Linked DNA regions of Bombyx mori. The protein of the gene in region 1 purifies or fractionates together with the protein of each later gene. This does not show direct contact. Links are inferred from orthologs where the notes say so. Each region holds a gene or a part of one and is shown in the gene's direction. Other genes may lie near its edges. The genes, in order: Taf1 and transcription initiation factor TFIID subunit 6.

What was found.
Region 2: the proteins of Taf1 (region 1) and transcription initiation factor TFIID subunit 6 purify together in Drosophila melanogaster (affinity purification with western blotting; 3 studies listed by BioGRID, with this or other methods). This does not show direct contact. The link is inferred for Bombyx mori from reciprocal best matches to the Drosophila melanogaster genes Taf1 and Taf6.

What each region holds. Positions count from the first base shown.
Region 1 is NC_085123.1:8,767,763-8,771,598, reverse strand, and holds part of Taf1 (transcription initiation factor TFIID subunit 1), read left to right. Parts: intron 1-259; coding exon 260-432; intron 433-1,897; coding exon 1,898-2,018; intron 2,019-2,460; coding exon 2,461-2,618; intron 2,619-2,982; coding exon 2,983-3,178; intron 3,179-3,836. UniProt on the Drosophila melanogaster protein: TFIID is a multimeric protein complex that plays a central role in mediating promoter responses to various activators and repressors. Largest component and core scaffold of the complex.
Region 2 is NC_085121.1:11,010,675-11,015,186, reverse strand, and holds the start of transcription initiation factor TFIID subunit 6, read left to right. Parts: upstream 1-1,623; 5' UTR 1,624-2,044; intron 2,045-2,118; 5' UTR 2,119-2,132; coding exon 2,133-2,369; intron 2,370-2,487; coding exon 2,488-2,776; intron 2,777-3,103; coding exon 3,104-3,255; intron 3,256-3,947; coding exon 3,948-4,127; intron 4,128-4,512. Other genes in the region: E3 SUMO-protein ligase RanBP2, read right to left, coding at 654-879, 955-1,023. UniProt on the Drosophila melanogaster protein: TFIID is a multimeric protein complex that plays a central role in mediating promoter responses to various activators and repressors.

The sequences.
Region 1 (3,836 bases):
AAGTTGAAATACCTGAAAAAAATTCTATTTTAATGAATCTAGCTGTAGGATTGAAATGATTTTAATAGACCTAGAAATATATATTTTTTCCGCATCGAATATGGTTATTGCCTATCATTTATGTACAAAGCAGTTATTGTCGCTTAGTCACGTTTGCCTTTCAAGCGTCGATATATATACCATGTGAAAAATAAATACAATATAAGATAGACTTACATACTACGGTACAGCCAAACTTAATTATTTCATTGATGAACAGGACAACGGTCCCAAGCCACTGAAGTACGGTGAAGTAGCGTACGCTCACACGTCGCCGTTCCTCGGGATCCTGGCGCCGGGAGCCACGCAGCCGGTCGTCGAGAACAACATGTACAGAGCTCCTATATACGAACACACGTTGCCGCAGACTGACTTCATCATTATACGTACCAGGTACGTAATACTGTCTGATGTATATTTAAGCTTTTTTTCTACCTAAGCTGATGGTCGCGAGAGACCATTTCAGCGTAACCGGGCGAGTAGGCGAGCTCACGGGGCTCAAATCTGACATTGTTGCTAACACGAACTCTAGCAAGAGCCGTGCATAATCTACCACCGAATCGGAAACGCGATCCACTGAGAAGATCCGGCGAGAAACTCAGTAGGCTAATGTCGTCTGCTCTATAATGACTTTATAATGACCCTCAACGGTCCGGTGGAGGTAATCCCGGGCATTCCGCTATACGAGATTCATACAACATATTTTACAAATGAGATTTATGAAAAGTCCCCAATGGTTGGCATTGTTAATGTCCATGAGCAACGTGATAATAATAATAATACGCTCATTCTGTGAGCAGAGTTCTGTAAAAATTTCAGAAACCAATTTGGAAAAATAAATTTCCTCGAATCATAAAATTTTTTTGTACTAATAACAACAAAATGTAATTAATTACTGCTTAAAATACTAATAAATTTACTGAACACTAATGGTCTTATTTACAATGAGTTATCTGAGCAGTATCAGCCCGATATTAAAATACTGTCACATAGTTTTATCTATACTAATATATAAATCTACCGTGGTTTTTACGGATGTTCCGTTATAATTATTGAACTATGCATCCGATTGACTTGAAACTTGGTATCCATGTAGAAAATACATGTACTTAATGGATAGGCTAATATTTATATGAGTCTTGGACTCCCTAATAATAATGACAATAAATAATCTATATATTAATACGTGAAGCAAAAACTTTGTATCCCTTTTTACGAAAATTGCGCGGACGGAGGAGTATGAAATTTTCCACACTTATAGAGAATATAGAGAAGAAGTGCACAATGCTAATATTTTTTTAAAATAATGCATAAATGATACATTAAATCAATAAAGAAAACATTACACACACTACATACCATGTATTTGACGCACACACGCATGCATACTATTTATTGTCAAACTTTTGTTCTTGACGTCTGTTGTCAAATTGAGAATAGATTAAATATTGTTTGTCTTTGTTAATATTTTTTATAATGTAGTCTTGGCGAAATTTGTGATTATAAAAGTATAAAATAGAATCATAATAGTGTACAAACTTACAATTCCAATTAATTATAGTCTAATTTCGACTACTGCGGGACCTCTAGTAATGTTAATTTTAAATGCCCAGCGAAGCAGGCGAGTATGGCTAGTTCCTTATATGTATAATGAGTAAAACTTTTTGAAGCTATTCTTATAACATACTTAATGAGCTCAGATAGTTTTTTATGAATCGGAATGCTAATTTTATGTTTTAAAACTAAATTATAACTGAGATAATTACTATACATACATATGAAGAGATCATTACTATCTATCTACTGAGATCATTACTATACATACATATGCATATGAAGTCTAATTATAAAATTTCAGACAAGCATATTATATACGTGAGATCGACGCTGTGTACGTTGCCGGACAAGAGTGTCCGCTGTATGAAGTCCCCGGACCAAATTCAAAGAGAGCTAACAATTTCGTTAGAGATTTCTTGCAGGTAAATATGGTTCTAAATATTGGAGACGGATCGACACTTTTATTTTGCCTACCTACTGCTAGTAGCCTAGATGGGAAATTCTGACTACTGGGTGTGTAGGCGAGATCACGGGAAACTTTGCTAACATCTGCTCTAGTAAGAGCAGTGCTTCGCTGACTCTACTACCGGATCGAAATTGCATTCTGCTAAGAGGATTCGGCGAGAAACTCACCGGGTTTAAGTTGCACGTCGAACTCTTTATCGATAACCGGTGCTCGGAATCCCCAAAAGGGATCCCCACCGATCAACAAACACTAATCTAATAGTATAGATAAATCTAAAAACGCCAATTCGTTTTTTTTTAAACGAAAAGAGTTTTTCATCGAAAGTTGAAACTCAATATTCAAGTCATAATAGCGTGAATGTTAAATATGAATAGTACTGAAAACATTACTTTTTTCAGGTGTTCATATACAGGCTATTTTGGAAATCTCGTGACAAGCCACGTCGTATAAAAATGGATGATATAAAGAGGGCGTTCCCGTCGCATTCTGAAAGTTCGATTAGAAAGAGATTGAAGCTATGCGCTGATTTTAAGCGTACCGGATTGGATTCGAATTGGTATGTCAGTTAGATAAATAATATAGAGAAAATGGACATTATATTTAATTTAATTTTTATTAAATCGCTTGGAAAATTATGTTCATTTTGGTTTTAAAAACATCTTAGAATTGTATTTTGTATTCAGGACACATGATATCAAGTTATAAAAGATTTTTATGGCTCAAGTATGTAGAATCTAAAAATAGTATAATCAAACGTAGACATTAGGATAAAATCATTTTGTACGAATAAAAAACCCGATGATAAAGGATTTACTTTGTCTCATTTACACATTATTGACCTTTATTTTTGACATTTTCACATTCAACCAATATGAAAACAATAAAATAATCAGCCAATAATAAGATGAAATATAACACAGGTGGGTGATAAAGCCGGATTTCCGTCTACCCTCCGAAGAAGAAATCCGAGCCATGGTGTCGCCCGAACAGTGCTGCGCCTACTTCAGTATGGCGGCCGCAGAACAAAGACTGAAAGACGCTGGCTACGGAGAAAAGTTCCTGTTTACCCCGCAAGAGGACGATGACGAGGAAATGCAGCTGAAGATAGATGATGAAGTGAGAAAACCTTTGTCGGAAACACCATATTTTTACTGGTGGTAGGACTTCGTGAGTCCGCGCGGGTAGGTACCACCACCCCGCCTATTTCTGCCGTGAAGCAGTAATGCGTTCAGTTTGAAGGGTGAGGCAGCCGTTATAACTATACTGAGACCTTAGAACTTATATCTTAAGGTGGGTGGCGCATTTATGTTGTAGATGTCTATGGACTCCAGTAACCACTTAACACCAAGTGGGCTGTGAGCTCGTGCACCCCTCTAAGCAATAAAAAAATAATAATCACTAACACTTCAATATTTAGATTAATTTTGTGTATTGCATTTTCACTTTTGATGTGATAAAGCGACAATATTGTAAAATTGTACACTTTTAATGCGTCTTCTCGCATTAAAAGTGTACAATTTCCAAAAATATTCAAAATTGAGTTAATATGCGGAATCATTTGATATCACCAGTATTTTTCTCATAAATACTGTCAAAAGAGTGTTGTTTAGTTTTCGTTTTTTTTTAGTTTACCTATATTTTGACTACAATTAACAAAATTAATACATCATTTTGTCTTACTTTAAAAGACAGATAGTGTAAATGGTAAAAAATAAAAAATAAATGTTGCAAAGATGATTAATATTAAAAATATCACATGTTAAAGTTTTAAAAC
Region 2 (4,512 bases), on another chromosome or scaffold:
ATCAATCAATCAAGCCTAATAAAGAATGAACAAGCTCATGACCCACTTGGTGTTAAGTGGTTACTAGAGCTTCTAGACATGAGAGGCCAGATCTTAAGACTTGTGGTCTATATCTCATTTGTATAGCAAAACCTAATTTTAGTTGATTTTATAAGTTAGTGTGTTCCTGCATTGTGGAAGTCATTCAAGAATTTTATCTTTTCGGGTATAACAACTTCAAACTATACAATAGCTACAAATGAATACATACCTATTAACAACATACAAAATATTATATTATGTAGTTTATTATATACATGATAATAATAGAGTATTCTTTATTGCAAAACAATATAAAATCAAAAGAAAAACAAAAAATCAAACAATGTATTGTACTTATGCTTATGCAGTCTTATTACTAAATATGACCTCTTCCAAGCTGACAAGAATCATCTAAGGAAATAAATTAATCATAGTACTACCACCAACACACTTACTGATAGAAAAAAAGAATATAACTAAGAATATAATTTTCACATAAATATAAATAAATATATATAAGAATACTGCACATAAAAATGGCTTAATAGAAGATTTTGGTTTTAATATTAACAAACCTAGTAAAGTAGCTATATGATAAATTGTAAATTAAATATTATTTTAGTAAGACTTACTGTCTAGAATAGTGCTTGTCTGGGCTGGGTCAATGTCCAGGGAAGTTTTGTATTGTTCTAAAGCCTTTTCTTTTTGTCCTATCTTCTGCAAAGCTTGTCCGAGAAGTTTATAAGCCGCTGCATTGTTATCTTTTTGAGTAAGATATTGCTCAACATATTTTTGGCAATTCGCAAAATCGCCAACTTCAAAATACAACCGAGCGATGGAATAAGCACGACTTTTAAACTGAAAATAACCAAATATCGATGGTAAAAACTTTGTCAATAAGCGTAATACTTGATTTGAACACCAACTACCAACCTCTCTCGAAGATATTTTGTTCAGCAAATTTTCGACGTGCTTATCAACGTCTTTTTTATTTCTATACATTTTAACGATTTTTCCGTCTAACCGATAGTAGTCACTTATTTACAAAACTAGACCTTTTGAAAATAATATTACAACTTGAAGCGCATGAGGCTGCAAATGCCCGTAATCGAACGCGAAGCTATGGTTGGTTATATTGATTACCTTTATTCTCTTTGAAATGGTTGGCAAAATGAATAATAACGAATAGAAATTGGAATGCCGTCAAAAGTCAATATGTCGTCAGTTATAGAGCAAAAAATTGCTAGATCTAAAAATGAGCTCAAAATGTACCACAAATTTAAAAATGTTTGTTTCATAACTGTTCATTTTCTGGAATACTTTTCTGTGGCATGCATTACTGAACAATTTTATAAAGCAATGCTTAAAAATGTAAAAAAATATGGTTTCTATTTGTTGTCATAAAATTTACTTGGCTTAATAAAAAAATCATAAATTACGCAATCCTTAGCTCATGCACTCAACTTGATCCCATAGACATTATAATCTACACCCATCTTATGGCATGAGACCGTAGTTTTAATTTTGGGTGTGACATGTCCATAGTATTGGCATAAAATAGCTTCATCCAGTTTTTTCACACTCAAGACAAATAATAGAGCATGGGCAGCATAAGCAGCATTTCATGCCAATTGATTAAGTTTCCTTCGTTTTTTATTATTCGTAAACTGTAAATACCTACTTAAAACGGCGATTCCTAAAAATCTTATTACTTGACGCTGGCTAATGCACAAACGTGCCGGATCCAAAAACTAAGAAGAAGAATATGTTGTACCAAAAAAATCTATGGTAGAATGTCTACTTGTATCCAAATAGTAAATAAATTAGGGTACACAGGTACATACCTACCTACTTATCTACATTAATTAACTTTACCTTATCACAACAGGAAAATATCAGAAAAAAGCAGGAATAAAAAATTAAAGATTAACCCAAAGAATACAGTGATACAAGGGGTCTATCGTAATCGTAACCAATTTGGTGATAAATCATTGTTTAATGCTGTAGTCAACGTATCTTAAAGGTATTCATATGCTCCCTTTGATTGAATTGAGAACTTTAACAACTTTCATAAACCACAACCTTATTTTTTTATAGATTTAATTTCTATCATGGGCGACTCAGAATTGGCTTATGGATCTTCGTTAACGTTGGATTCCATGAAAGTGATAGCAGAGAGTGTTGGTATCGCCACTCTTGGCGATGACGCTGCTAAGGAACTCGCTGATGATGTTACATATCGCTTGAAAGTGATTGTTCAAGATGCCATGAAGTTCATGCATCACTCAAAGAGACAAAAACTTTCCATTACAGATATAGATCATGCCCTGAAGATAAAAAACAATGAGGTATTTTAATATCTGCAGTTAAAGCAATATTTAAATATGGCTTTAAGTGTTCCATGGTCTCCTATGATAAATTAACAATATTTTTTTTTAATTCATTATATTATTTCATTCATTTTAGTGTCAATATGGATTTATTCAGCCTGATTCGCTGCCATTTAGGTTCGCATCTGGAGGAGGTAGAGAACTCCATTTCATTGAAGAAAAAGAGATAGATCTTTCGGAGATCCTATCAGCACCACCCCCAAAGGTTCCATTGGATGTATCTGTTCGTGCACATTGGCTAAGTGTGGATGGGGTTCAACCAACAGTACCTGAAAATCCACCACCGCTTTCAAAAGAAGCTCAGAAACTTGAATCTGTTGATCCAATAAGTAAACTGAGTAAACCAAGCAATAAAGATTCTGCAGGTTAGATAACTATAACAGTTGTTTTGATAGGAATATCACAGGGTTTAATTAATTTTACTTATGGTAGAAAAGATACAAAACTGGAAGAATATAATTGGTAGGGCTTAATATGGATTCTGATTGAATTATCTGAATTAAAGTACACAAGTAACAAGTTATTTAGTATTTTCAAGAGATTATTGCAAATGATATTTTGACACAAATATATGTATAGGAATAAACATTGGAATCATAACCTCATTTTTTTACCACTGCTACAATTTAAAAAAAAAGCGATTCTATGCGGGTGTGAAAGATAATATTTTTTTATAAATATAAATATTACAGGTAAACCTATATGTGGCAAAGCAGCAAGATTGAAAGCATCAGAATCTGTGCATGTTAAACAGCTTGCTACCCATGAATTGAGTGTTGAACAGCAGCTCTATTATAAAGAAATCACAGAAGCCTGTGTTGGCAGTGATGAAACAAGACGTGCTGTAAGTAACTACCCTGATAGAAAGAAAAAAAAAAAAACAATGAACACCATATAATTTTTTCTTCCATTTAATATTGAATCTTAAAAAGTTGCATATCTTCTCATTAAATACATTACATAATTATATTTATAGTAGATATATTGAAAGAAACTATTTCACAATATTATTATGGAAAACCATATCCATATTGCTTAGATGGGTAGACGAGCTCACAGCCCACCTGGTGTTAAGTGGTTACTGGAGCCCATAGACATCCACAACGTAAATGCGCCACACACCTTGAGATATAGTTCTAAGGTCTCAGTATAGTCACAACGGCTGCCCCACCCTTCAAACCGAAACGCATTACTGCTTCACGGCAGAAATTTTTTACTATATGAAAACAATTTCTGGTAAATGTCTATGGGCTCCAGTAACCACTTAACACCAGGTGGGCGTGAGCTCGTCCACACATCTAAGCAAAAGATGTCTATATTTAAATTTCCATTGCTGTTCAAGTGTAGTCTAAACAAGACCTAACTCACTAAATATATAACTGGTGGCAAAGATCACCAACCATACTTTTTACAAAGTATAGAATTTTCTAATAGGTTTAGATATCCTATATGTATGTTATTCTATTTGTGAAAGATCTGAAATAATTGAAAAAAAATAATTTTGTATTCTGCTTTACAAATTTCTTCATCTTGCAGGAAGCGCTCCAGTCCTTAGCTTGTGACCCAGGACTACACGAGATGTTGCCCAGAATGTGTACTTTTATATCTGAAGGTGTGAAGGTTAATGTCGTACAAAACAATCTGGCTCTTCTCATTTACCTGATGCGAATGGTTAAGGCACTACTTGATAACCAGTCACTATATTTGGAAAAATATGTGAGTAGTTATTCCTATTAATAACAAAATTATGGAGAACCTTCGTCACATTATCAAATGTTGAAACTGTGAATTGAGTCTCAAGATAAAAATCATTAAATTTCAAATTCAATAAATGTGTACTTACATTATTTATTCACTTTGATCATGCAAGTTTGTATATTCCACAATGTGAATGACATCCATGTTGGGATTTTCCACTTTTTATTGCAGTGTCTTTACTTCAATTAATGAATATAAAAGTAGAATGTATATCTTCATTATGTTTAGTCAACGAGAAGAATGTATATCAAAGGGTGAAAGGCAATTTGGTTTAAGCAGCATTTTTGCAACATTACAGAGGAGAACCATTTAAAGCTTAAAATTTGGAAAAAATATCATAAAA